4 linked regions of the Stegostoma tigrinum genome follow. The protein of the gene in region 1 purifies or fractionates together with the protein of each later gene. This does not show direct contact. Links are inferred from orthologs where the notes say so. Each region holds a gene or a part of one and is shown in the gene's direction. Other genes may lie near its edges.

Region 1 (6,907 bases):
GTACCTCAACGCTTCCTGCCTACTAACCTCATCCCGCTCCCTGGACTGACATATCCCCTCCCTAACTCCTTACTTTACCCACCTCTTTGACCTGTCTGTCTCCTCTCCACTTATCTTCTCCTCTATCTATCTTCTGTCTGCCTCCCCCATCTCCCTATTTATTTCAGAACTCCCTTCCCCTCCCCCTTTTCTGATGAAGGGTCTAGACCCGAAATGTCAGCTTTCCTGCTCCTCTGATGCTGCTTGGCCTGCTGTGTTCATCCAGCTCTACACCTTGTTATCTCAGATTCTCCAGCATCTGCAGTTCCTACTATCTTTGTGATATCCCTGGCACCAGAGAAGTTAGAACCATGCTGCTTCCCTGGTGTTCGCTGTTGTTTCCATTTCTGAAGAAGGATCACCAGACCCAAAAAGTTAACTGATTTCCCTCTCTAGATGCAGCCAGACCTGCTGAGCTTTTCCAGCAACTTCTGTTTATGTTCCTGATTTACAGCATCCACTGTTCTTTTCGTTTTTCTATTTAACCCTTGAGTCCATCACTGATTAAAGGTCTTTTTTATTGTTGATTATGCCTAATGACCTAGCCTCTAAAGCCAAGTGCATAAAGAATTCAGAGATTCGCGTTTAGATGAGAGAAGAAATTCCTTGTCATCTCTATTTTAAGTAGGTGGCGCCTTTTGTCAGATTTTGCCCTCTATATATATATTCTCCCATAGTTCCCACAGTTTAACATCTGTGTCTCATTCTGCTTTGGCTGATCTCAGAAACCACTATTCTCTGCAAAGCATCATTGTCACGGTCAGATTGTTGTTGAATTTGAGGTTAATGACTCCTCAACATCTCTTCCTCCTCAGGCACCTTGGGAAATTTGAGATGTCTGTAAGGGCCCTCAGCAACTTCTACAGATGCACCATAGAAAGTATACAATCCAGGTATTTAATGGCCTGGTATAGCAACTGTGTTGCCCAGGACCATAAGAAACTACAGAAAGTGATGCGCACACCCCAGACCATCATGGAAGGCAACATCCCATCCGTGGACTCTATTTACATGGCTCGCTGCCACAGAAAGGCTGCTAACATTATCAAAGACACTTCCCACTTGGTAATGCTATCTCCCAACTTGTTCCATTAGGCAGAAAATACAAAAGCTTGAACACATGGACCAACAGCTTCCTCCCTGCCATGGAGATGGTAAGGGACTGCAGACACTGGAAGCATGAGTAAATAAATGTGGAGCTGGAAAAGCACAGCAGGTGAGACAACATCCGAGGAGCAGGAAAGTCTGTGTTTGGTTTCTCCGATATAGAGGGGACTGCGTGGGGAGTACCGAATACAATAGATGAGGTTTGATGAAGCGAATCTGTGGCAGATTTGGAAGGATTGTTTGTGGCCTTGGACAGACTTGAGGGGGGAGGTGTTGGGGCAGGTGTAGCACCTCCTGTGGTTGCAGAGAAAGGTACCAGGTGTGGTGGAGGGGTTGGTGGGGAGTGTGGAGCTAATGAGGGAGTTGTGAGTGAGTAGTCCCTGAGGAAAGCAGACATGGTTGGGAAGAAAAACATCTTTTTTGTGATAGTGTCTGATAGTAGGTGTTGGAAATGTCGGGGGATGATGCATTGTATATGGATATTGGTGGGGTGGTATGAGAGGGCTAAGCGGGCTCTATTCTTATTGTTGTGGGGGGAGAAGGTTGAGGGCAGAAGTGAGGAAATGGAGATGCAGTGAGGACTTCCTTAATAACGGAGGAGGGGAAATTACAATCTCTAAAGTAGGAAGATATCCGGGAAGTCCGAGAGTAGAATACTTCACCCTGGGAGCCGCGATAGAGGAATTGAATATAGGATAGCATTTTGGCAGGAGGGTAGCTGAGAGGAGGTGTATTTGAGGTAATTGTTGGAGTCATTTGGGTTTGAAGTGGATGCCAGTGGAGAGTCGGTTATCTGAGATGGCGATGGAGATGGGAGGGAGATGTCAGAAATGGTCCAGGTGAGTTTGAAGGTACGCTGGAAGGTGTTGGCAGAGTTGATGTACTAATCAAGCTTGCAAGCATACAAGGCAGCACTGATAGTCATCAGTATCACAGAGAAAGAGCTGAGGGATTTAGCGGTTATGGTTGTTGAAGAGGGGCTGTTTTACGAATCTTACAAAAAGGCAAGTATAGTTCGGGTCTGAGTGGGTGCCTGTGGCCACCCCTTTGTTTTGTAGGAAGTGGGAGGAATCAAAGGAGAAGTTGTTGAGGGAAAAGACCAGTTCCACCAAGTGAATGAGTGTGTCAGTGGAGTGGAACTGGTTGGGCTTACGGGAGAGAAAGAAGCAGAGGGATTTTTGGCCATCCCTGTGTGGGATACAGGTATCCAGGGACTGAACGTCCATAATGAAGACGGTGGTGCTGGCTCGAAGGGCCGAATGGCCTGCTCCTGCACCTCTTGTCTATTGACGTGTTTAAGGCTGGAAATAGAAAGTTTTCAAATAAGTGGAAGGTGTGGGTTGTGTCCTAAATGTAGATGGGGAGTTCCTGGACCAAAGGGGAAAGAACAGATTTGAGGTTGGTGAAGGTGACCTCAATGGGGCAGGAGCAGGCAGACGGGTTTCAGGATTTGGGTAGGAGATAGAAGTGGGCAATGCAGTGTTGGAGAACTATCAGACTGGAGACTATGCACGGGAAATCTCCCGAGGTGATGAAGTTGTCGACGGTCTGGGTGATGATGGCTTGGTGATTAGAGGTAGAGTAGTGATTCCCTGGCATTGTTAGGCAGCTGAATGTATCTCTCTAATTTAAATCTAATGTTGACCTTGCTCCTCTGCAGCCATAACCTAATGCCTCGCTCTGTCTAAGCGTCCTATGATCTGTAGGAGAGAGATAATGGGAACTGCAGATGCTGGAGAATTCCAAGATAATAAAATGTGAGGCTGGATGAACACAGCAGGCCAAGCAGCATCTCAGGAGCACAAAAGCTGACGTTTCGGGCCTAGACCCTTCATCAGAGCTCTGATGAAGGGTCTAGGCCCGAAACGTCAGCTTTTGTGCTCCTGAGATGCTGCTTGGCCTGCTGTGTTCATCCAGCCTCACATTTTATTATCTATGATCTGTAGGTCCTGGTTTGCTCCGATCTGCTTGCAAATCAAAGCTTTTCACTGTACTTAGGTACATGTGACTACAATAAATCAAAATCGGGGGTCTCCTGCAGTGCCATAATGATGCCACCAGAAGGTTGCAGGAACAGCAACTCACATTCAGCTTGGGAACCCTGCAGCCCAATGGTATCAATGGGGATTTCACCAGCTTCAAAATCTCCCCTTCCCCAATGCATCCCAAAACCAGCCCAGCTTGTCCCCACCCCCCACTGCATCCCAAAAACCAGCCCAGTTCATCCCCACCTCCCTAACCTGTTCTTCCTCTCACCTATCCCCTCCTCCCACCTCAAGCTACACCTCCATTTCCCACCTACTAACCTCATCCCACCTCCTTGACCTGTCCGTCTTCCCTGGACTGACCTATCCCCTCTCTACCTCCCCACCTATACTGTCCTCTCCACCTATCTTCTTTACTCTCCATCTTCGGTCCGCCTCCCCCTCTCTCCCTATTTATTCCAGTTCCCTCTCCCCATCCCCCTCTCTGATGAAGGGTCCAGGCCCGAAACGTCAGCTTTTGTGCTCCTGAGATGCTGCTGGGCCTGCTGTGTTCATCCAGCCTCACATTTTGTTATCTTGGATTCTCCAGCATCTGCAGTTCCCAATATCTCTGATACCAATTGATGTGGATCGTCTCACCTGGGCGTGGGGGCGGGGCGTGGGGCGGAGTCGTACACCGGCGGATTGCGGTAGGCGGTTCCCGTTCCAGGGGCGTGGCCGTGCACCTTCAACGGGTATGGGGGCGGGACACCAGGAGGCGATGAAGGCGGTGATACGCATGCGCATTTCTCCAAAACGGCGGGCGGTGCCGTTACCGCTGCGCAGGCGCGGCTTCTCAAAGTTTCCTCGCTTTGGGGCGAACCTGAAAGAAACGGTGAGGATCCGGTTACCGAGGCAACGGGATTTGGGTGGAGTGCGTAACCTGGGTAACGGGGCTTGGGAGAGTGTAACCGGGGCAACGGGGTTGGGAGGGAATAACCAGAAGAACGGGGGGAGGCGGCGCCACGATTCCGAGTTTTGGCTCAGGACGGCATTGAGCCTCGGGTGGGGTGGGGCAGTTAGTTGGCACTCAGCCTGGGGGTGGGGGTGTGGGGTGAATGTGCTGGGTGGAGGGGGGTGTGGGAAACACTGATCCCTGGGGAGGGGGGTGTGGGAAACGCTGATCCCAGGGAGGGGGTGTGGGAAACACTGATCCCTGGGGAGGGGGATGTGGGAAACGCTGATCCCAGGGAGGGGGGTGTGGGAAACACTGATCCCTGGGGAGGGGGGTGTGGGAAACACTGATCCCAGGGGAGGGGGAGTGGGAAACACTGATCCCAGGGAGGGGGTGTGGGAAACACTGATCCCAGGGAGGGGGGTGTGGGAAACACTGATCCCTGGGGAGGGGGTGTGGGAAACACTGATCCCAGGGTAGGGGGGTGTGGGAAACACTGATCCCAGGGTAGGGGGGTGTGGGAAACACTGATCCCAGGGGAGGGGGTGTGGGAAACACTGATCCCAGGGAGGGGGTGTGAGAAACACTGATCCCTGGGGAGGGGGTGTGGGAAACACTGATCCCTGGGGAGGGGGGTGTGGGAAACACTGATCCCTGGGGAGGGGGGTGTGGGAAACACTGATCCCAGGGAGGGGGAGTGGGAAACACTGATCCCAGGGGAGGGGGTGTGGGAAACACTGATCCCTGGGGAGGGGGGTGTGGGAAACACTGATCCCTGGGGAGGGGGGTGTGGGAAACACTGATCCCAGGGAGGGGGTGTGGGAAACACTGATCCCTGGGGAGGGGGAGTGGGAAACACTGATCCCAGGGGAGGTGTGTTTGTGAGTGTGACGGGTGAATGTGCTGGGTGGAGGAGGGAGTGAGAAACACTGATCCCAGGGGTGGGGAGGTGGAACACTGATCGGGGATGGGGAGGCACGTGCGAGTGCGAGGGGTGAATGTGCTTGGGCGGGGGTATCAGAACACTGATTCTGGGTGTGGAGGTGTGTGCAAATGTTGGGAGTGAATGTGCCTGGGGGTATGGAATGGATTGTCAAATTCCTGAAATGGAGGTATGAGAGGACACTGATCTTCAGTTGTGGGTGTGGGCACTATACCTCAGGAGATATCAGGTGCACGGAGCCTGAGTGTGGGGAAGTTTAGGGTAAAGTCGGGTGTCTGAAGGAGCACTGAAGCAGGGATTGGGGGTTTGACAGCATCCAGCCTGCGAGTTGGGCGAGGTGGGGGGTAGGCACTGAGCCTTGCCAGGCTAGATGAATGATTCAGAGTGTGAGGGCCATTGAACCTGAGGGGGTGGGGGTACTGAGCCTTGGAGTAGTTGGGCTGAAGAGGCACTGAGCTTCGGAGGTATGGGGATATTTATTGGATTGGGCTTTCTCTGGTTTCCTTGATAGTGATGTAGTCCATTGTTTATGTTTTATAAGTATTTTCATTGATTGAGGTCTTTGTGTTTTTGCCATTAAACTTTAATCGGTATGAAATTTCTGCTAAAATTCAAAACAGCGCACCATTTTTGTTCCTTTATATGCATTTATTGTCCATCTGTAATAGCCACAGAGATGGTATTGATCTGCCTTCTTGTATTGCTATAGTCCTTGGGGTCTGGGACCACTCACGATGCTGTTTGGAACGCAGTATTTTGAACCTGTGACAGTGAAGGAATGGTGATACAGTACCAATTCAGAATGATGTGTGCAAAGGAAGTCTTAACAATGTACTTAGGAAAGTATAACTCAGTTATATCGAGTCAGTATGCTTCTGTGAAAGGGGAAATCCTGTTTGACAAATTGATCAGTTTTTTGATGCTGTGACGTAAATAAAAGGGAATCTGAATTTTGCTGAAAAGAAAGATATGTTGTTCATTCTCTTGTCTTGTTTGCTTTGCTCTTAGTAGAGAGGATCGTTTTCTCTCTTTCAAACCTTAATTTACAATCAATTTAAATCTCTCTCCATCATGAGCAACTTTTTTACACTGGGATTCTGCCTCTGTCAACAGCATAAAGAAGGATATTTTCCAACTCTTTTCAGAACTGAAGAAGTCATACTAGACTCGAAGCTTTAACTGTTTGCCCACAGATTCTGCCCAGCCTGTTGAGTTTCTTCAGTTTCTGTTTCTGTTTTCTGCAGTATTTTGCATAATATAGTTTTGCATTATATAATATTTTGTCTGATCTTTTCGCTTTGCTCTCAGGCCAAACACAAGGACAAGTTTTAAACAATGGTAACAATATATATGAACAAAAATGTGCTGACAATATACTGCACTGCCTATATTTGTACTAAAGCTGTCCTGTACTCACTGAGGCTCCCCAAATGCCTGGGTTGGACAACAGATCAATTGTTTTATACAGAAATAGTAGGAACTGCAGATGCTGGAGAATCTGAGATAACAAGGTGTAGAGCTGGATGAACACAGCAGGCCGAGCAGCATCAGAGGAGCGGGAAGGCTGATGTAGCGGACCTAGACCCTTCTTCAGAAAACTCGTTTTATACTGCTGTTTTACAGTGGCCATGCAAGTTGTATGTTCCATTAAAGGTTGCTACCATCAGATAAGTTTGAAATCTTCCACGTAATTCAGCAATGTCATGTATCCCAGGCACATAAGCCATATTCCTCAGGAATTTTGATTGTTTCATTCAGTGTCTTTTTGGGAAGGAAATTGCTGTATTTACCAGGTCAGGCCTATGTCTGGCTCCAGACCAATAATGTGGCTGATTCTTTGCTACCAAGGGCATTAAATGCAGTAAGGCTGACATTTCAAGCCTAGGGCCTTCTTCAGAA
Region 2 (7,630 bases), on another chromosome or scaffold:
GGAGGCTATGTTGCAGCTGTATAGGGTCCTGGTGAGGCCACACCTGGAGAACTGTTTGCAGTTTTGGTCTTCTTACTTGAGATGTACTAGGGGGTACAGAGGAGATTCACTTGGTTGATTCCAGAGTTGAGAGGGTTGGATTATGAGGAGAGACTGAGTAGGCTGGGATTATACTAATTGGAATTCAGAAGAATGAGAGGAGATCTTATAGAAACATAAGATAATGAAAGGAATAGATAAAGTGGAGCCAGGGAGGTTGTTTCCGCTAACAGGTAGAACTAGGACTAGAGGCATCGCCTCAAAATAAAGGGAAGCAGATGTAGGACTGAGGTCACGAAGAACTTCTTCACCCAAATGGTTGCCAATCTGTGGAATTCCCTGCTCAGCGAAGTGGTTGAAGCTACCTCGTTGAATGTTTTTAAAGCAAGGCTAGATAAATTTTTGAACAGTAAAGGAATTAAGGGTTATGGTGAGTGGGCGGGTAAATGGAACTAAGTCTCAAAGATCAGCCATGATCTTATTAAATGGCAGGGCAGGCTCAAAGGGCCAAATGGCCTACTCCTAGTTCTTATGTTAAGTTCTTCTAGCAACTAAAGCAGAATCTTGACTAAAACCTACTCCTAACATTGTAACAGGTTGATTTAATAATTCAAGAGAAACATTTACTTTGGGTAAAATATTCTTATCTATGTAAAGAATTGCAGCAGTACATTCCATCCCAGCAAGTAAACTTGATTAAACAGTCTTGCTATTGTTCCACTTGCCGAGACTACATTAAGAAAACATTGTTCTAAGGCTCTCTATCTATTATCACGGACATTCTGCTGTACAGTCAGTCAGGGGCAGTTAGTGACCATTTTGTGCCACTCTGTTATGGACATCCCTAACAGCTGACCACCTAGGACAAGCTACAGATGTTTGGGAACTCCAGCCCCTGCAAGTTACACATTATCCTGACTTGAAACTATCACCATTCCTTCATTTTTCACAGCAAAACCCAGAAATCTGCTTTCCACAGCTCAAGGATTAGTGGTAGAAGCAAATTGCTCACTAGTACCTTTCCCAGGGCAATTAGGGGTGAGCAATAAATATTGGTGTAGCCAGCAATGCCCACTTCCCATGAACAAATTTAAAAATGAAACTTATAACTGTTGATGTTCATAAAGACTTGGGCATACTTGTATAAAGAATGCAGAAAATTAATACGATGTCACAGAAAACAATTAGGGAAGTAAACGGCCTGCTAAACTTTATTACAGGTGCATTAGAATACAACATAGACATCTTGGACAGACCACATCTGGAGTACCGTGTATAGTTTTGGTCTCCATATTTAAGGATATGCTTTTCTTTGGATATGTTAGTGACAGTTCACCAGATTGGTGTCTAATATGAGCAGATTGACCTTTTAAGGCTGAATAAATTGGGTCCACATATAAATTAGGATATTCTCTTATTGAAATGTATAGAATTCTAATGGGACTGAAATAGTTCATACTTTAAGGTGCCATGGTGGCTCAGTGGTTAGCACTGCTGCCTTATTTGAGGGCTGGGGTGGACAAAATTTTGATCCTACAGGGAATTAAGGGTCATAGGGAGCAATGGGAAAACAGTGAAGGCCAAAGATTAGCCACTATCATCTTAAATGAATGGAATATTTTCAACAGGCTAAATGGTCTATTCCTGCTCGTATTTGTAGTCTGACAGCATTCTGAAAAGATCACTATGTCAAACACCCTTGGCTCAATCACCTCAAACACTCTTCCACTCTTTCCACAGCATTTATCCACACAAATGCAGAAGAAGCAACAGAAGATTATCTCCCTCATTCTTAGTATCCAAGATATCAAGCATTACTTCCAGGTAAAACAGCGATTTATTTGCACTTTAGAGAAATTGCATTCACTGCTAATGAATTGGTCTCCACTAAATGGGGAGAAAAATACAGATGGGTGACTGCTTTGCAGAACACATAATTAAGTTTGCAAAAATAGCCTCAAGCTTCCAGTAGGCTGTCATTTTAAATTTTTGACTTGGCTCCCAGTCTGAATGGGTATTCTAGTGGAGCTTAAGGCAAGCTTGTGGAATAGCATTTCACAGCTTTCTCGACAAATCACAAAGATCAACAATTTGAATGGGTGCGACAGGCCCCATTTTGTTTGATGCCTTCTTTGATGAATTTTCTTTTTCATCTTGTTTTGCATACTTTCGTTCTGCGTTCAGACAGCAGGTATTCAAGATCTCATCTTACACACTCTGTCTTCAGAAATTAAGCACAAATCCAACTGCAAAAATAGCAAATGCTGAAAGTCTTCCGTGACCCACAGGAGATGTAGGTAGTGTTTATTTGTGCTGCCTCGTTTTGCTTTTTTGCATCAGCCTAGGCAAAACGATTGGTGCCATCCCACAAAACTGAGTCAAATGGTTACACAGTACATCTCAAGGTTCCATTTTTGCACAGTTTAAGCAAAACTGGCAGCCTAGATATTCCAATGGTCAGATAATCATTTTTGCAGTAGATACGAGTTGTGCACAGGGACATAATCCCCATCATAGAATACTCCAAGCAGACTGTCGAAGAAATTGAAATTTTGTCGTGCAATTCCCCTATCTGGAACCCTCTGAAAGTATCTATTTAAAGTTTTTGAGAAGATATGTAGCTCAGGTTGCCAGTAATCTGAGGCATATAAAATAACAAGTAGGACAGAACACCAACATTTCACTGGAGGTGCTCTGACAATGTTACCTAGCAAGGTAACGAAACATCTACAATCAAACACACTGGTTTGGCAAACAAGTCTTCAACCTCAGTATCTATTTAAATCATTGAATTTGGAGGGTGTCACTGCAATTAAGTAAAAGGTTACTCAAGAAAAGTTAGACTATTAAATACCTAACTCCTGAATAACTGTTTAGCTGAGCCCGAACTTACTGCATACACTCAATTACAATTCACCCAGATCTCAAACTCCCCAGGACCCTGACCAAGGCACTCGCCTCCATCCAGAACACCGTGCTCTGTCCCTGACTCCTCACTCCCCCAACACAGACTTCCTACAAACTTGACACCTTTCTCCAGCCTTTGGACCAAACTCATTCCTCCATTTGGGAACCCATTCCCCAGCACATGGACCTGGCACACATGTTCCTGCTCTGGACCCAACTGTAACTCCTGACACACAACCACTCTTGACATCACTCCACCCCCTTACCATTTGCCAGAGGTGAACGCCTTACGGCCCTGTGTAGTCTCTTTGTCTCATTACCCAACTTCACATACTCCCCCAGCACAACCACAACAACACATCATCCCCCGCCCCACCTCCTGCCAAAACTGTTTTCTCCCCTTGCTACCTTGAGCCCTAGTACCTTATAGGCACCATTTACTCCTTTCACAGGAGCTGGCAAAGTGACTGTGATCTAAACTGCTGTTAAGAAAAGCAGATCTTAGAATCATAGAATCCCCAGTATGCAAAGAGGCCATAAGAATCTGCACCAAACTTCTGAAATGAATCCTATCCAAACTCAGCTCCTTACACGCCACTCTGCAATTACTAAGGCTAAGCCACTTGGCCTGCATATCCCAACACACCAAAGGATAATTTAGAGATAGTAAGAACTGCCAATCAGAGATAACACAGTGTGGTGCTGGAAGAACACAGCATGCCAGGCAGCATCAGAGAACCCAATTTATTCAGCCTCAAAGGTCAATCTGCTCATTTAGGACACCAATCTGGTGAACTGTCACTGTAACATATCCAAAGAAAAGCATATCCTTAAATATGGAAAGCAAAACTACACACAGTACTCCAGATGTGGTCTCCAAAAAAGTCTTCAATCCACCTAACTTGCCTATCTTTGCACTGTGGGAGAAAACTGGAGCACCTGGCGGAAGCCCTTGCAAACATGGGGAGAACATGCAAACTATGCAGTTACCAAAGTCTGGCATTGAGTCTCTGGCGCCGTAAGGAAGCAGCAACACCAAGCCACCCTAACTGTCTTTTCTATTTTCCGATAAACCGGCTCAAAGATGTCAAAACACACCTCTAATGCAGGTTCTCCTGGGTCGGAGGCGCAGGCACTACCACTGCCCCGCTGTACTACACTGGAAGTACAGATTCGTATTTCTGAAGGAGCCCTGATCAGGAATCTCCAGCAGAAATGCAGGGCCGGGTCGTTTTTTTTAAAGAGTTAGAGAGGCAATGTATTTGTGATATATACTCCTCAGAAAATCCAGCCCAGACAGCCCGAACCAAACAAAGAGGGGGAAAAAAACCAGTAAACGCGACCACCACCAACACCTCCACCCGCCTCCTCCCCGGCGGCAATTCCTAATCTCGCGAGAACCAGCAGGACCTCTGATCAAACTATTATTATCCCATCCCCACACAACATTTCACTGGACTTTTTTAACACAGACCTGGAATTATTAGACATACGATTACATTTTAAATTCTATTCGTTAAGAATAGAAACAAACAGCAGTCAAAATTGTTAGTGTTGACCCATTTATCAGTGTACGTCCACACCCTCCCCCCCATGGTGAGTGGTGCGGTCTGTTAGACGGTTCCAGAAGCCGGTTCTCGAGCCCCTTCCCCCCCCCGCCGCCAAGAACCTGCTGGGCGGAGACTGAGCTGGGAGTGAGCGGGTTTGATCCGGTCAGCTCGCAAACATGTCCACTTTGGGGACTCTCGCCTTCGATGAATATGGACGACCCTTCATCATCGTCAAGGATCAGGAAACCAAATCTCGGTTAACTGGGCTGGAGGCTCTGAAGGTAACGGCACAAGCAGAGGCCCGGGCTTGTTAGCTGCTACCCACATGTGGTGTCGCGGCCTAGAGCGCCGGCGGCCTGTACTTGATCAGAAATCTAATCTCTCGGTGTCTAGTGCAACCATACGATGCGACTCGGACCCCCGATCTCCTTTGATCGGAGGCTCGGAGTGAAGTGACTGATTTCGGAGCGTCGATTTAAGCGCATTTTATTTTTTAAATACCATATCATGGCATTGTGATAGTGTGGAGCCGACACTCGGCAAGCAACGACCAAAAGATGGGAGTTTGACTCCCAGTGTGTTAACGTTAATTGTTGTATTGCCATCTCGTCCTGACTGATATTGTCCATTTTATAGAAAAATTTCCTCCGGAGGATTTAAAACAAAACCTCGCCGATTCACAAGACTTTGTTCTAAACCCATTTAACATTTCATCTCCTGATGCAGTTATGTTTCGAGTATCCTAAAATAGTTGAGAAGGTGGGACTTCACACTTGGGCAGCCATCTGGGATACATCGCGTTGTAGTTGTCATCCTTATTCCAGCACGTTTGATCAAAAACTAAATCTGGATGAAAATATGAATGAAAAGTTTGTTTACGATCCTGTGAAAGGGAAACAACAGCCCGCCAAAAATGTAGTTTCATTGCAATATGAATCCATTCTCTAAAAAACTGACTTAATTCGACATTAGTTTCTAAGACGTATGACATTTGGCTCTCCAGTTCACTTAGCTGCACCTCGATTTCACTTGGTTTGGTTTGCTAAATCTCTCTTTGTGAATAAATCCATCGGCAAGCGATTTTTATTGGGGAGTGATTAAACTGGGAATAAATTTATGAATTGACTGCTTGAATGTATTAATTAAACCATTTACTTTGCTGCTTTCTTGGATATACTGACTTTTGTCGGAAGCCCTATCTAATTCTCATTCTAATTTTGCCTTAAATAACTGTTATTCTTATAAGCCTAACATTGATTATCGACACAAAAACAAAGTTGCTGGAAAAGCTCAACAGATCTGGCAGTGTCTGTGAAGAGAAAAATCAGAGTTAACGTTTTGGGTCCTCTGACCCTTCTTCAGAACTGGAGGGAGAGTCACTGGACTAGAAACGTTAACTCTGATTTTTCTCTTCACTGCTGCCAGACGTGCTGAGCTTGTCCAGCAACTTCTGTTTTTGTTCCTGATTTACAGCATTTGCAGTTCTTTTGGTTTTTATTAAGATGAGAAGCTTTCCTTCAAAGAGTAGTAATCTATAGAATTTTTTGCCACAGACGGCTGTTGAGACTGGGGTGGGGGGGTGTCATTAAGTATGTTTGATAGATTTTTAATCATTTAGATAATTGAGGGTTATTGGGAAAAGTTGGAATGTGGATTTGGGAATCAGTCATGATTTCATTGAATGGCAGAAGAGGCTTGATGGCTGAATAGCCTACACTTCTGCTCCTACATCTTGTGGTCTAATTGGAAATGCTGAGTAATTGCAAATGGAAGCCTTGGTTGATGTCTTTGGCCCTTGTTAGCCCAGGAGTACCAAGTGAAATTATAGGATAAGAACTTAATTAAGCTGTCTCAACAGGGTCCTCCTAATCGCCTGGTAATTGCATATGGTGTATATTCACCCACAATTGTATCAAAGAGGCTGTTTCTCATGTTTAGATTTTGTTCATTGAGCACTTAATACTGAAAACATTTTTCATTATTATTGTGAATGTACACCTAAAAGGAGAAAAACGACATTTATTAGCACCTGTCATGCTCACAAATGTCCCTCAGTGTTTTACAGCTAGTGAATTTAATTGGAGTGCAGTCTCAAATTTTTCTTGACTCCCACTCCGAAGGAAATAGTAAACATATAACATTGACACACACATTTGGATGATGGAGAGATATAAAGACAAGATGGGAGGAGGTATTTGAAGTGAAAGAGACTTCTGGGGTACAAACACGAATAGACCAATGAACCACATGGTCAATTTCTGGGCTTTAGATCCAAGTACGCCACTAAGTGTCATTTTGGCAATGGCATTTAATTATACTTGTATAATAAAGTCAAAATGTAGGAGATACATTTTAGCAGAATCTTGATTCTTAATAACAGGTCTACCTTGCACATGAACACTTTCTGTTTTTGATATTCTGACACAGATTTTCCAGTTGGTATTTTTGAATGTCAGCACTAGCATCTATAAAATAAGCAATTACCAATTTAGAAATCTAGACAGTCTGTCATGTTGATTCAATGAATAGTTAAAAATAAATGCTATTTGCTTTTAAGTACAGGAAGGCTTAGAGTTCTTTCAAAAAGACTAGACTTCTGACATTTGAGTTTTTGAAGTAAAATTCTAATGTTTTTGCTTTCATTACAGTCGCATATTATGGCAGCAAAAGCAGTGTCCAATACGTTGAGGACTTCCCTTGGACCAAAGGGTAAGATCACCACTTTAGAGTTTTAGGTAGATCTCAGTTTTGAAGTACTGAAGAATGTGAAGCGAATAAGCTTCTCTTAGATTAATTCACACTTGCTTACTTGTGAATATACAGATTAGGAGTGCAAGTTGGCCGTTTCATCCCACGAGGCTGCTCCACCATTCAGTGAGATCTCTATTGATCTGTCAGTGTTTTGAACTCCACATTTCCAGTTATCTTCTAAACTTTGATTAACAACCTTTGCCTAACAAGAATTTTGGTCATTTATTAGGCTGAATGTGTTATCAAGGAGCCCAATAAAAATTCAAGTTCATGAGAACTAGGGAAAATATTCTTTTTTGATTGAAGTCATTCCCGACATAATAGGAGATGTGTGGGTTGTTGGAGGTCTGTTATCTCAGCAGTAAGACACCTCTGCAGGGACT
Region 3 (7,184 bases), on another chromosome or scaffold:
ACCTGGGATCGTGAATCAATACTAAATCATATGCACAGCTAACTAATGAGTACCAGAAGGGAGAAGGTGAGGGGAATTTGGTGCAGGCGTTCACTGCATTTTGTATTTCAAGTGAGTTTTGCCCTATTGATAGTTGCAGCATTTTGGACTGCATTCATCAGACAAACACAGAGTGAGGGAGCTGTCCAACAGCTCATTTCTTCTCCAGAGACTGCCCCTCATCTAGCCTTGCTGGAGAGGAGAGAGATAGTGATCAGCCTCTATTCTAAAATAAAACCCTGTGACGTGACAGACAATGAGTTAGCACAGTTAGTAGTTCTCAATTTGGTAGTATACATCACCAAACCTGTTCATTTTGAGAGATGCAACAGTTAAGTTCATGCCTCAGCTGTCTTTAGTCTCTAGCTCTTTCTCAGTTTATCAGTACTGGAGTCACATGGCTGTTATTCTCTTCCTTACAGGCAATAAAGAATGGAAGCTCCATTAACTCCTGAATGTCACTTCAGCCAAATGTCCTTTTTCCTCATCTTAATTCTGACCACATCTTTCTTCATCTCAACCTTGCTGACCTTTTAACATGCTCTGTGATTTTCCCGTTCTTCCTTAACGAATTTCAAGTTTGACATCGGACCATGATTAGATAGGTTTTATGTATGTACAACACATTGCTCTGGTTCACATTGCTGTAAATGCCACTGGAGGACAGCACCAGACAAACATCTATAGTATTTGGTGTACAGCCAGGTGTGACAGTGCCCTCTGCTGGTAGTGATTGGATTACCATTCTTACAAAGCGTTAACAAAGATGATGCAAAACAAAAATGAAAACACATATGCTAAAAATACACCGATATCAATCATTACCTGTAAACAGAAAAGACAGGCTAATGATTTGGGCTTAGTGACTTCTTCAGAATTGTAAAATAAAAGATTAATAAATACGAATAAAATAAGGATAATGTAAGTAATGATGCACTACAACGATTGGATTATCTGGTTCTCGTTCACTTCTTGTTCACTAACGGCCACATCTGATTTCATCTATTTGTGAATCCAGATTCACAGGAATGCATCTGACACTTAATTGACATCAGAAGCTATTGAGTTGTATTCAAGAAGACGACTTGCCACTATCTTCTTGACAGTAATTGTGAATGGACAATAAATGCTGACTTCACCAGAGATGCATCCATTCCATTAATTAATAAAAAGATACGAGATGAGGAGACATTCCTTAGCTCAAGTTTAATGTCCTGCCTAGCCTGTGCAGCAACCTGGGCAGTTTGCATACAAGTCAGTCCATTCAAGCTATTCTGTGTGGGCAGCTGTGCAAAATGATATAAAGGGAGCCACACATTTAAACAAAATGCATTACTCCAGAAATTAGTGTGCAAGGTTATTGAAATATAAAAATTCTCATAAACTCATTGAGTATAGTCAATACAGTCACTAACTAATTTTTGGATATTGAGAAAATCAAAGGATCTAAAGACAGTGTGGGAAGATGGAACTGTGGTTATCATTGTTTAGATATCAGTGAGTTTAAAGATTAGTCATGACCTTATTGAATGACAGAGCACATTTGTATGGTCACATGACCTACTTCAGCTCCATTACATTGTTTTATGTAAATTTTCTTTTCAGTAACACAACCATTTGTTAGTCAACGATCAAATGGAAATAGCTAAGCTTTTGAAAAATATGGAAAATGCATGTGTCTCACATAAAGCCAGCAAATGCTGGGAGCGTAAAATAGATCAGCCCTTCCCACAATGAAAAGGAATAAAGTCTACCATTGTATTCCACAGATATCATATGAGGGTCCCCTCCACATGCCTTTCAATAGTTTCCTGTACCAAGATATCATGTTCCTTCCAGCAATCTCTATCCTTAGGTTTATACATAGGAAATGTGTTTTACTTGTTCAGATCAGCTTGAGTGGCTCCTTGTTGCGTATCTCATCTGGATTCCTCTTACTCCAGCAGTTTGTAAACCCTGACTTGTGCCCTCAACTGGTCTCACAGAAACAGAGAAACAGGTCGTGTACTTTTCAACCACCACCATCCTACTCCAGCATTGAATAGCATCACTAAATCTGGAAACACAGCCCTGGCCATGAACCCAATACAATGTCTCCACTGCTGGCTGTGGTCTACTTGTCATGTTGGCTCTGCAGAATGACATGGGCTCCAAGATCAGTCATGTCAAGAACTTCAATCTTTGCTTGTGCTGCTTCCTGAACAAGGTTCATAAGCTGGAGTGCCTTAGATGAAGTAATGGACTGGTGAGCACATACAGTAGTATTATTTTACAAAGTACTTTTAAAGTGCTGATTTTCATATTTGTGTAACGGATTGAATAATGATTCATAAGTTGGTCAATACTTATATACTAACTATATATGTTTCTATACTGCTTTCTCGCTGTTTATTTTGTTACATCTGAGATCATGTTAACTTCAAGTGTTAATATAGGGTTACATAGGAAATACTTTAGTAAGTGCTGTCTTGTTCTGCATATTATCAGTGTCTCAAGCCACATTCTGAATCTACACCTATTTATAAGGTGATTCCAAGTCTGGAGCAGACTGTTCTGGTGCTGTGCACTGCCTTATGTGGTGGAGACTCTCCAACTCACATTCCAACTCAATGTCTCAGAGCTGGCGGGAGGGGGCGGGGTGGAGTTACGAGATGGAGAATTCTTTTGCAGAGAGGTTCACTTGGAACAGTCATGCTAATCAAAAAATCCCACCTACTGCAGTTCAGACATGCTCTGCCACATATTACTGTAAATCAGGCAGCTTATTGATGTTGTTTTTAGTCTGTTGCAAGTTTTGGGTTCCTTTTTGTTATTAGCTTGCACAAGTAGTGGACAAAGTGCTAAATACTTCAGGTTGCAGAAAAAAAAAGATAGTGGCGTGGCATATTGTCACTGGTTTAGTAATCCAGAGGCCCAAGCTGATGTTCTGCAGACATAAGTTGAAATGCTACGATGGCAGCTGATAGAATTTAAATTCAATTAATAAATCTGGAGTTAATAAATCTGAGTGAGTCTCAATAATGGTGCCATCAGAACTACAACTGATTATTATAAAATAACACCTGTTTCACCAATACCATAAGACCATAAGACATAGGAGTGGAAGTAAGGCCATTCAGCCCATCAAGTCCACTCCGCCATTTAAATCATGGCTGATGGGCATTTCAACACCACTTCCCTGCACTCTCCCCGTAGCCCTCGATTCCTTTTGAGATCAAGAATTTGTCGATCCCTGCCTTGAAGGCATCCAACGTCCCGGCCTCCACTGCAGTCCGTAGCAATGAATTCCAAAGGCCCACCACTCTCTGGCTGAAGAAATGTCGTCTCATTTCAGTTTTAAATTTACCCCCTCTAATTTTAAGGCTGTGCCCACGGGTCCTAGTCTCCCCGCCTAACGGAAACAACTTCCTAGCATCCACCCCTTCTAAACCATACATTATCTTGTAAGTTTCTACTAGATCTCCCCTCAACCTTCTAAACTCTAATGAGTACAATCCCAGGATCCTTAGCCGTTCATCATACGTTAAACCTACCATTCCAGGGATCATCCGTGTGAATCTCCGCTGGACACGCTCCAGGGCTAGTGTCCTGTAGTCAGGGAAATATGACATCCTTATCTGTTATCTGGTCTACTTGTTACTCCGTACACATAACGATGTGGTTGACTCTTCACTTCCCTCTGAAATGGCCCAGCAACACACTCAGTGCAAGGGCACTTAGGGATGGACAACAAATACCAGCCTGGTCAGTGATGTCCACATCCCATGGAGGTAATAAATAGAAAGAAAAGTAAGAAAAGGCAGCAGTATCTTTGTCCTCTGCACAAGTTTCACTCTCAGTCAATGCTGAACTCAGTCATCTGGTTGAGGATTGTGGGGCTGGAGGGAAAATTTCAGAGTTAGGGAGAGGTGAGGATATTGGAGCTATTTGAAAAACAATTTTGGAGGCTTTCAGAGTACTGGATTTTAAATTTATCCTGAATTCAGAATATTGGTGGAGTTAGTGGCGGCTGAGTGACGGCCTTTTGCTGGTCCTGATGCTGCTGGGGCGCAGCTGAGCTGTTGCCTAGTGACCGGGCCTCCCAGGTAACCACTCCGGCCCCGCCCCTTCCCCCCGAGGATGGATAGGTAACCCGGAAGCGGTACCCTTTCCTCTTCCGGCGTGTTGTGGAAAATGGCGACGGACACGCAGGTCTGTGCTGGCGGATTGGAGCTTGGGCTTGTGTTGGGCCTGCGTGGAATCGCAGGCAGGAGCCGGGAATCGACAGACAGCCTCCCCGGGGTGTGGGGGAGACGTTGATCTGGGAGGGGAAGTCGGGAGTGGAGTTTGAGAGATAACGGGGGCAGCGGGTGGGCACTCTCAAAACTCTGGGGGAGAGAAGAATTAGAGTGGAGGCTGTTACTCTGAGGGTGGGAGCGCGATTAGTGAGAGATCAGAGGCATCTTGTTGATCATTCGGGGTGAAGATGATCAAGTTCTTCATCTAAGGCGGTTGGTGGGGTTTCGAGGGGTGCGTTGGCGGTCACAAATGCCGAGCAGTCCTCTGAAGGTGCTGCTGCATGTAAGACCAAGGTACTACAGACAGCTGTGTTTTGGCCGAGTTGCTGGTTGGAGGTTTTTGCTCCTTGGTGTTTACTTTCTGTTTCTGGTATAATGTTGATTCGATAAGGCTGCACAGTTTAGGGCAGTAATCTTGGCTGAGCTTTTCCCAGAAGTTGAAGTCTATATCCAAATTTCTGAATGAGTGATTGTACTGTTTTCATAGAACAGTCTGGTGTGAAGTTTTTCAGCCACTCTGTCACACCAGTCTGGAGTGTTAGCCAAGACCTCATCTTCCTTTGGATGCCAAAGTATCTCTTATTCTATTTGCTATAAAAACTCTACTTGTCTATAGAAAATTTGATTTTTGCATGCATGGGTTCTGGCTACATGACCAGTGCAATTGTGAGGATGATAGGAATATGATGAACATGACTTGCTTGTATATTTGATTATTTTGAGGGAGAATTGGGCATTTTCAGCCTCTATCTCATTTGACCTAACTTCTTCGAGTGGCAGCGTAAGTCTAGATTGCTGGAGTTTAATCTCAAAGCAGTGGGGAGATTAGGACATCATCTGTATCTTGCTAAGTTGTATGTTCCACAAAACAATGCTGACCCATCTTCAAAACTATTGGACCTTTGGGCTGTTCTGCTCTGTCTGCTGTAATCCGTTGTCACATATAAGAGTCGCCACATCTTTAAGTTGCCATGAGTTGGAATCCGTAGGCTGCCCTCAGCAGTTTAATCATCCTTTTCAAGCTGTTTACTGGGGTGTGGCTGAGTTTGTATACTGAAATCTCTCCACAGGTCCAGGTGAGAACCAGCTGAAGGCAGGGACCGTTACCAGATGAATCACTTAAATGTGCAGCAAGCCAGCCTGGGAACAGAGTTGTTCCTTCTGAGCATGACTTAACAATCTAAGGTCCAACAATCCTGAAGATGTGAAGTGTGTAGACCTTGACAAGATACAGAAGATATTTGATCATCCACTGCAAATAGATGTACATCCAGATGTCCAGACAATTGTCTCTGGAACAAATAGGTCAGAGTGAAAGATTAAGTCTGATGATGCGCAATTCTTTCTCAATTTAGCCCAACTCATGCACCAAGTATATTCTCCATTCCATCAGAGATACTCAAGCTTGGGAGAGGAAAGGATGAGAGTATATATTGGGTGGGTATTGGGGACGAGGATAGCAAGGGTATACAGCTTGGAGATGTGTGAACGTGACATATAGAATCCAGGGTGAAGATCAGGAATTGTTAACCTGGGCCAGAAGACAAGTTGAGAAAAAGACAAATATGTGCAGTTGTAGCGAGTTGACGATTTGGGAGAGGTGGCAAGAGAGATCCTGAGCTTGGAGACTGTACATTGGGCTGTGTCAAGAGAACATTATACAAAGTGCAGGGGAAAGGGAATGAGCAACAAGTTGTGGTACACATAGGTGCAAATGTGATAGAAAAGGCACTTGTTTGAAGGAACATTTGTCCGATGTTCTCATGGGAAATTCACTTTGTGATTGGGAGTATTTGAACTAAACTGTCATAGCAGTAGGTACCAATGTAGAGATGCAGAAAAGAGGAAATAAATGTATAAAAGATTACATCCGTGGAATACTGTTAGTACTACACTAGCTAGGAGCATACTGAGAAAAACTGCAAGGAATATAGAACAGCTTCAGAATGGATGTGTGGTTAATGAGGTTGATGAATCACAAGCTGAAATAGCATCGTTGGATTGTAATCGGCTGGAAATAAAAATGGTGACAACTGACCACTTAATTATTAAAGGCACAATGTTCAGAAAAGATAGTGGAGGAATAAAATTGAGGTAGGTTGACATATCTTAAGGTTTGGATTAGTAATGGAGAACAAAGTTGCAATCTAAAGCACAACTTCAAAAGTAGAAGAGGACTAACTTCAGTGAGGGTGGACCTCGTATAAAATCACAAGGGGCATGGATTGGGTGAATAGTCAAAGTCTTTTCCTCAAGTTGGGGGAGTACAAAACCAGATGGCATAGGTTTCAGATGGGAGGGGAAAGATTTTAAAGGGATCTAAGTAGTAACTTTTTCACACAGAAGTTGGTGCATGTATGGAAAAGAACTGCGAGAGGAAGTGGTGGAGGCTTGTTCAATTACAACATTTTAAAAGGCATCTGATTGAGTATCTGAATAGGAAGGGTTTAAAGGGATATGGGCCAAATGCTAGCAAATGGGACTAGATTAATTTGGGACATCTGGTCAGCATGGACGAGTTGGACCAAACAATCTGTTTCCATGCTGTACAGCTCTATGACTCTGGTATGGGTAAAATGGAACCAATGACAGACGAGGAAAACTGAAATGGACCAATGGGTAATAGGGGTGCCAAAAGCTGATATGCTTTCTGAACGAAGATATTGCATATAAGGACTTTCCTAGTAGCCACAGGTCAGTCAATTTAGCACTGGGATTTTGTAAGGTTTCAGAAATAATAAGGGAAATAAATTATAAGGGTTTGAGTTTCTTGAAGTGATCCAGCATCAGTGTGTGAAATGCAGATAGTGTTCAATTTACCTAACTGGATTTTTCGATGAAGTGATAGAGAAGCTTGATGAAGGCAAG
Region 4 (6,980 bases), on another chromosome or scaffold:
ATTTGGCTTGCCTCCTTGATATTAAAACATCATTTTATTGCATGCAGTTATTAAAATGTATCCCATGGTGACCATGCAGGTGAGAAGCCCAAATAAATTCACTTCTGTTCCCCATCATTTTTATTTGGTTATCAATGACTTATCTTCCACAAATTTTTTCCTGTATTGGTTTGGAGAAATAGAACTTCTCCATCTATCCTGTATAATCAATGAGAGATTGATGCTACGATACCAGTTGATGTTACAAGTAAACAAGTCATATCTCTGACAGAACCCTGGCTTGGTGGATCATGCTGTGATTTGTTTTTGTTTTCATGAAGTGGTCCCTTGCTGAACATAGGCACACAATGCTGCAGATTTTTACTTTAACGATGAAAAGAAGTTTATTAGTCAAAGAAATGAGCATAAAACAGGATAAACTAAACCATCTGTTATAATACCAATTCAAAGATTTTTAAACATACAGTGCAAGTATAATCCAACTAGTAATGGCATTGATACAAATAATGGACATTTCCAAGGTTTGAATTACTGTCTACTTATCTGCATTACGCAGCAAATCATCAACCTGCTTGGGTGTGAAAACAACTTCCATAAAATTCTCTGCTTCCAGGAGATTAATATTGAAAATGACACAATTCTAATTTCAATGTTCAGTTTAATCTGCTCTGCTAGATGGCAGATTGAGGAGCACTGCTCCTGAGATTGCAGGCTTATTTCCAGATTTACTTCTAGATTTCTTCAGTTACTTTAAGTACATGAATAAGAAATCTTTGGAGGTATATGGCGTAGTCCTGCTCCTATTTCTTTATGTGCATATTTAAAAAATGGGAGGGAAGCATGTAGAGTCAGAATTTCTTATTAGATGTTTGATGTCACCTGACACTTCATATCACAGACTCCATCTTAGAACAGGCCACTTGAAGTGTGGCACACCAATGAAAGCATACAGCTTTTTGTTACCAAATAACTTGATGTTTGCCCAGATATGGATGTGCCCATGAATGCAATATCTGTATAGTCTGCTGTAACAAACATCTCAGTGATTGTTTCAATAACACATTAGCCCTATGTAGTCTTGTGTTATGAGGGATAACAAACATTGCCATCTCATGTAAAGAAGGCTGAAGGCAAAAAGCCCATCATTAGGATACCCTGTTGCAAATCACTACAATTCAGGACATTTAAGTGGTGAGGTAATTTAGGTAAAAGACAGGTAGTAAAAGGACAGAACAGTGCAATTAGAGTGCCTCCAATGATCAGGTTTGTGATCTGGAAGAAAAATACATTACAACAGCAAATCTAATGGGTTAGTATTAGTCATTTTGGTGTGTCATAGCTGCCTCAACAGGTTAGGTGGTGTGTCAACCCCTGAAATGATCTAAGTATCTACTGTTTTTACAGATGTTGACTCCAGTGCCTTATTTCTGCTAGTGGGGTCGAGGAGGGGACAATGAACCTCCCTTATGAGTTGGGAAAATTGTTATGCCCTTCAACATGTGCATCCCTTCAATCTCTATTTTTTAAAAAATGACTGAACTAATACAGTTACTTTTTGTTCAATATGACAGTGAAAAGTTTTCATTTGTCACCGTTATCTGGCATCATTTTGAATAAATTAGTAAGGATTAAAGTGCAAGCCCAAACAACATCGGAATCACCTGTCTTGGTGCTGGGCCTACCTCCAATGGCGCTGTGATGCCCATCTGCTGCTGCTTCATCACTGCCAGCATGAGACCCAAGCAGTGACAAGGTTGCTGATCCTCAGGTGCAATGTCTCACCCATAAGCCTGCCTCTGGTGATGTAACCACCACCGATTCTGATGCCAGGTCCTGTGCTCACCCTGGAAAGGTAAGGACTCATTCAGGGTCAACACTGGGCCCAATCAATGTCTGCCTGGTACCTATCAAGGTCTGCTTACCTGGCCTGTTCAGGGTCTGCGGTGGGCTCTCGCTGCTAACGCTGACCGAGCTCAGGACTAGAGGTAAGAAAAGATATACGGCGGGGGGGGGGGGGGAGAAAAAGAGAAGAAAAGAAAGAAAAGTGATCGGAGCAATGAGCTCCTGTTCAGGAGCTCTACTCCTGTGCCATCTTCTTCAATTCTGTCAATAACTCAGAATCTGACTCCCATTAAGAGTGATAGAGGTGTATATCACAAACAGACTCTGGTCCAATTCATCTATGCTGACCAGATCCTAAATAAATCTTGTACCATTTTCCAGTATTTTGCCAATATCGTTCTAAACCTTTCCTATTCATATAGCTATCCAGTTGCCTTTTAAATGTTGTAATTGTACCAGCCTCCTCCACTTCCTCTGGCAGCTCATTTTGTACATGCACCACGCTTTGTGTGAAAATGTTGCACCTTGGGTCCCTTTTGAATCTTTCCCCTCTCACCTTATTCCTATGCCCTGTGGAAAAGACCTTGGCTATTTACCTTATCTATACCCCTCATGATTTTACAAATTTCTATAGTATCACACCTCTGCTTCTGACACTCCAGGGAAAATAGTCCTAACCTATTCAGCTTCTCCATGTTGCTCAAACCATCCAATCCTAGCAATGTCCTTGCAAATCTTTATGAACCCTTTCTAGTTTTGCAACATCCTTGCTATTAGCAGGGAGACCAGAATTGCAAAGAGTATTCCCAAAAAAATGGCCGAGCCAATGTCCTGTATAGCTGCAACATGACCTCACAACTTCTATACGCAATGCACTGACCAAAAAAAAGCAAGCATACCAAACACCACCTTCACTATCCGATCTACCTGTGACTCCACTTTCAAGGAACTATGAAGTTGCACTCTTTGTTCAGCAACACTCCCCAGAACCTTACCATTAAGTGTATAAGTCCAGCCCTGATTTGCCTTTCCAAAATGATTCTTTTTAAACTTGCATCATTTTGGGATTATCCCTTATTTCTAATCTGTATGCATGTGTATTGCTTTACTAGTTGTTGGTAATTAATAAATTTGCTCTTTGACTCAAGAAAGCCTAGTTTAGTTTGCACCTTTTGAAGCATGAGTTCATTTGGGTCTGAGAGAAGGGTATTCACCAGGAAAGGGATCCATTTTTAAAGTGACCTTGTTATAACTAAACAATGGAAAAGTGGATGCAGGTGAATAAAGGGAGCCAGTTCATCTCATCTCACGTCACCCAGACGCTCAACAATTCGGGGCATGCTATCTGGAACCATAACAAATTAAGGAATCCCACGAGCAATGGGAGCATCAGCCACACACCAGTCAGACATGGGAACTATATTGCCGTTCTTACCCTGTGCTGTGTTAAAATTCCGCAAGTCACTAACAGCATTGAGTGTGATCTTAACAACCCTCGGAGTTTCTAAAGAACACTGCTGGCCACCACTTTGTCCAAGAGTGAAGGGATAGGCAATAAAATGTTCCTCTAAAATAATGCAAAAAAAAGGGGGAATCCGGAGATCTGAAACAAAAACAGAAATTGCTGGAAAAAACTCAACCAGTCTGGCAGTATCTGTAGAGAGAAAGCAAAGTTAACATTTTGAGTCTAGTCATTCTACCATACCCTAGCCAGCGACATTCCACATCCCACGAATAAGTGAGTTAAAATACTTGGAGGGTTTTAGCACTAAGGGCGATAAATGAAGCGAACTCTTGTTGGTGCAGTGATAATGGGAACTGCAGATGCTGGAGAATCCAAGATAACAAAGTGTGAAGCTGGATGAACACAGCAGGCCAAGCAGTATCTAGGGAGCACAAAAGCTGACGTTTCGGGCCTAGACCCTTCATCCTCCGTCTAGGCCCGAAACGTCAGCTTTTGCGCTCCCTAGATGCTGCTGGGCCTGCTGTGTTCATCCAGCTTCGCTGATATCTTGTTGGTGCATCCTCCTCCAACCGAAGTGTGGCATAGATGCAAGCGTGTAAAGTCAGTCCTCCAGGCTAGGGGGAGTCGGAGAGGGCATTGTCGATCGGGACCAGTGCTTCCTCCTTCTTGGGCTGGAGCCGGGTTTTTTTTGTGGCTTGCGGATTGCAGGTTCGATGCTCCGCTGCCGTGAGTGAGGTCCATTGTGGTTTCCGGCTGTAGAGAACGCCGTAACAGCCTCTCACGGTAGCCCCTTCTCCACCCCGGTGGGTGACAGGAAGATATCACCTCCCGGCTGTAGGGGAAGGTGAGGAGGGGGATGTGACAGGCACCCGAGGCTGACGCAGTCGGTGGATCAGCGCGGGGAGGGTTTTGGGTTTTCGGGCCCGGTGGCTCGGACCATGGCCTCGGGGAAGTCGGTGCTGTGCGGCGTCGCCAGCCTTTACCTGAGCGGCTTCTGTATCTTTCTGATGGTCGATGTCTACGCTCGGCCGACCAACAACTCAGCCGTCAAGCGGGAGAAGTCGGGCGCCAAGCTGGACGACAACGAGATCCAGCCCCCGAACCACCTGAGCGGGCTTAAACTGGAGAAGGGGGGTGTCCTGAACAAGGATTTCCACCAGGAGGTCTTCCTGGGCAAGGAGATGGATGAGTTTGAGGCGGACTCCGAGCCCGTCAGAAACCGAAAGAAGCTCATTGCCATTTTTGAAAAGTGAGTACTGTCGTCAGCATTTTCTCGGATGGGAGACAGGGCAGGATTTATACACTCAATAGTAAGGTCCTGGGGAGTTGTTAGTCAACAAAGAGACCTTGGAGTGCAGGTTCGTAGTTCCTTGAATGTGAAGTTGCAGGTAGACAGAATAGTGTTCGCAGTTTGGGGCTGGGCCCAGATCTTTTAAAATGACAGTCATTCAGAAAATCTAGTCTCAGTGCTTAATCCTACCCTAGTTGATAATGTTCTAAAACCAGGATAAGTTTTTGTTTAGTAATTGAGTGTGGCTGGTATTTATGCTTGGCACTGATTTCTTGAACCAAGATTAGGAAAGTCACTTGAGAATGTGACACTTATTATTCTTGAATGCACGATTCTAGTATTTGCTTTTTTAAAAAATTCCACCGTGGCTTTTGTTCACGTCTAACACCACACCCTTGGAAATGTGAGCACTTATGATTATGGTATCATCACTCTCAATTTTAAGTGCTCTGTGGTAGTTGCACCTTCAGTTGCCTAGGCCCAAAGTTTTTGTAAACCCTTTCATACACCTGTCTGTCTCTCTGTCTGTCTCTCTGTCTGTCTCTCTGTCTGTCTCTCTGTCTGTCTCTCTGTCTGTCTCTCTGTCTGTCTCTCTGTCTGTCTCTCTGTCTGTCTGTCTCTCTGTCTGTCTCTCTCTGTCCGATGTCCTCAAAACGTTCCTTTTTTGGGTCCTTTAACAAAATCTACTTTTTTGTGCTTTGGTGTAATACTTTTGTTTCAGAACATTCTAAGATGCTTTGCAGAAACATTATATCAGGTTAAAGGTGCTACATAAATATGTTGTTGCTCAATATGCTGAGAATTTCGAGTTAAGTGTCCTCTAGTTTTTTAAACTTGTTCCTAATCTCGATGTGGATCACATTCTGTCTGTACTGTTTACACTGTGTTAATAATTGTACGGTTATCACTACAGCATTTAGTGAGTATATGATGAGCATGAGGTTAGTACATAGAAACAATTTTGTTGTTTTATACATCGTGCAGTTAAGAGTTATACAGTGGCATTCCAAATGGCCTTTGAGTAGATGGTGATGATGTCCCTTTTTGTTGTTGTTGTGCAGTGCCTGTTCGCTTTATTTTGATAACCTTCAATCCTTTGTTTGCACAGCCATGCAAGTTAAACCTAAAGGAGTTGACTTGTGCACAATTTATTTGACTTCTGCATTGCTACACGGTTGTGCATCCCAGAGAGAGCATTGGTGGTGAGCTGTCACTTGAACTGCTACGATGTGTTGATATTCTCCAGTCCTCAAAGGAATTCTTGTATTTTAGTGACAGTAAAGTTCCAAAGCAGAATGATGGGTGACTTGGTGGGAAGCTTTGGAGCTGGTGGTGATTCCATGTATCTGCTGCCCTTGTTCTTGACATGATGCTAGGGACAGATTTGGTAGATACTGTCAAAGGAGCATTGGTAAGAAGTTGTAATTAATGCTGCATCATTATAGAAAATACTCCCTCAAGCCAGAGTGCTGCCGGAGGAATGAATTAAGTTGATGAATGAGGTGATGGGCTACTTCTTATTCTAGGAGTGTTAACCACCTTGATTGTTGTTGCTGCCCTCATTCAGGCAAGTGGGAGGGATTTAACACACTCTTGACTTGTGCCTTGCCGATGGTGGATAGACTCTGGGGAGTTGAGAGGTGAGTTACTCAGCAAATAATTCCCAGATCTGACATGTTCTTGTATCTACAGATTTAATACAATTGGGTGAGTTAGGTTTTAGTCACTGCTGACTCCCAATACATTGGTGGACGGTTCAACGATAGTAATGCCATTGAAGGTCAAGCAGGGCTAGACACATGCTTATCGTTGCTTGGCACTTGTGTGTCATGCATGTTACTCGCCACTTATCTACCACAGCATGAAGGTTATCCGTATCTTCCTGCATCCAGGCCCATTATCTGAGCTGTTCCAACTGGTGCTGAACATTGTGAAACATTGGTTGAAGCAGCTGGAAATGGACTGTACAATTAAATTACTTTTTAACGCTAAGATAGAGAAACAAAGACTTATTTGAAAACTGGACATTGAGCCAAGGAAGAAAATATTTTGAGGCTGTTACAAAATATTTCTTGGTAGAAGTGAACGTGAGTTTAAAAGAGGCAGGAAGATTTTAGAGAGGGCATGGCCACCACAGATGCATGGAACAAATGAAGGTGTGGAGTCTGGAATCACAGGAATAAGTAATTTGGTATAGGGTTGTTTGGCAGGTAAATGGCTTCACTCTTCTCCATAAAGAACTATGAAAGTGAAAATTTAAGGTGTTGAACAAGCAAGATTCGTATCCGTGAAGGAGTGGACCTTTTGTGTAGGATCTGAAACGCAGCAAGTAATTGATTAATTGAAGTTTATGGAGGTTGGAAGGTAGGAGGACACTGTCGC

Evidence for each region.
Region 2: the proteins of ilk (region 1) and cct5 purify together in Homo sapiens (affinity purification with mass spectrometry; 4 studies listed by BioGRID and IntAct, with this or other methods). This does not show direct contact. The link is inferred for Stegostoma tigrinum from reciprocal best matches to the Homo sapiens genes ILK and CCT5.
Region 3: the proteins of ilk (region 1) and gcn1 purify together in Homo sapiens (affinity purification with mass spectrometry; 3 studies listed by BioGRID and IntAct, with this or other methods). This does not show direct contact. The link is inferred for Stegostoma tigrinum from reciprocal best matches to the Homo sapiens genes ILK and GCN1.
Region 4: the proteins of ilk (region 1) and sdf4 purify together in Homo sapiens (affinity purification with mass spectrometry; 3 studies listed by BioGRID and IntAct, with this or other methods). This does not show direct contact. The link is inferred for Stegostoma tigrinum from reciprocal best matches to the Homo sapiens genes ILK and SDF4.

The regions. Positions count from the first base shown.
Region 1 is NC_081359.1:113,379,952-113,386,858, reverse strand, and holds the start of ilk (integrin-linked protein kinase), read left to right. Parts: upstream 1-3,896; 5' UTR 3,897-3,909; coding exon 3,910-4,005; intron 4,006-6,907. UniProt on the Homo sapiens protein: Scaffold protein which mediates protein-protein interactions during a range of cellular events including focal adhesion assembly, cell adhesion and cell migration.
Region 2 is NC_081355.1:89,123,579-89,131,208, forward strand, and holds the start of cct5 (T-complex protein 1 subunit epsilon), read left to right. Parts: upstream 1-4,607; 5' UTR 4,608-4,672; coding exon 4,673-4,777; intron 4,778-7,144; coding exon 7,145-7,205; intron 7,206-7,630. UniProt on the Homo sapiens protein: Component of the chaperonin-containing T-complex (TRiC), a molecular chaperone complex that assists the folding of actin, tubulin and other proteins upon ATP hydrolysis.
Region 3 is NC_081379.1:44,849,454-44,856,637, reverse strand, and holds the start of gcn1 (stalled ribosome sensor GCN1), read left to right. Parts: upstream 1-4,162; 5' UTR 4,163-4,212; coding exon 4,213-4,230; intron 4,231-7,184. UniProt on the Homo sapiens protein: Ribosome collision sensor that plays a key role in the RNF14-RNF25 translation quality control pathway, a pathway that takes place when a ribosome has stalled during translation, and which promotes ubiquitination and degradation of translation factors on stalled ribosomes.
Region 4 is NC_081381.1:29,565,522-29,572,501, reverse strand, and holds the start of sdf4 (45 kDa calcium-binding protein), read left to right. Parts: upstream 1-3,960; 5' UTR 3,961-4,245; coding exon 4,246-4,556; intron 4,557-6,980. UniProt on the Homo sapiens protein: May regulate calcium-dependent activities in the endoplasmic reticulum lumen or post-ER compartment. Isoform 5 may be involved in the exocytosis of zymogens by pancreatic acini.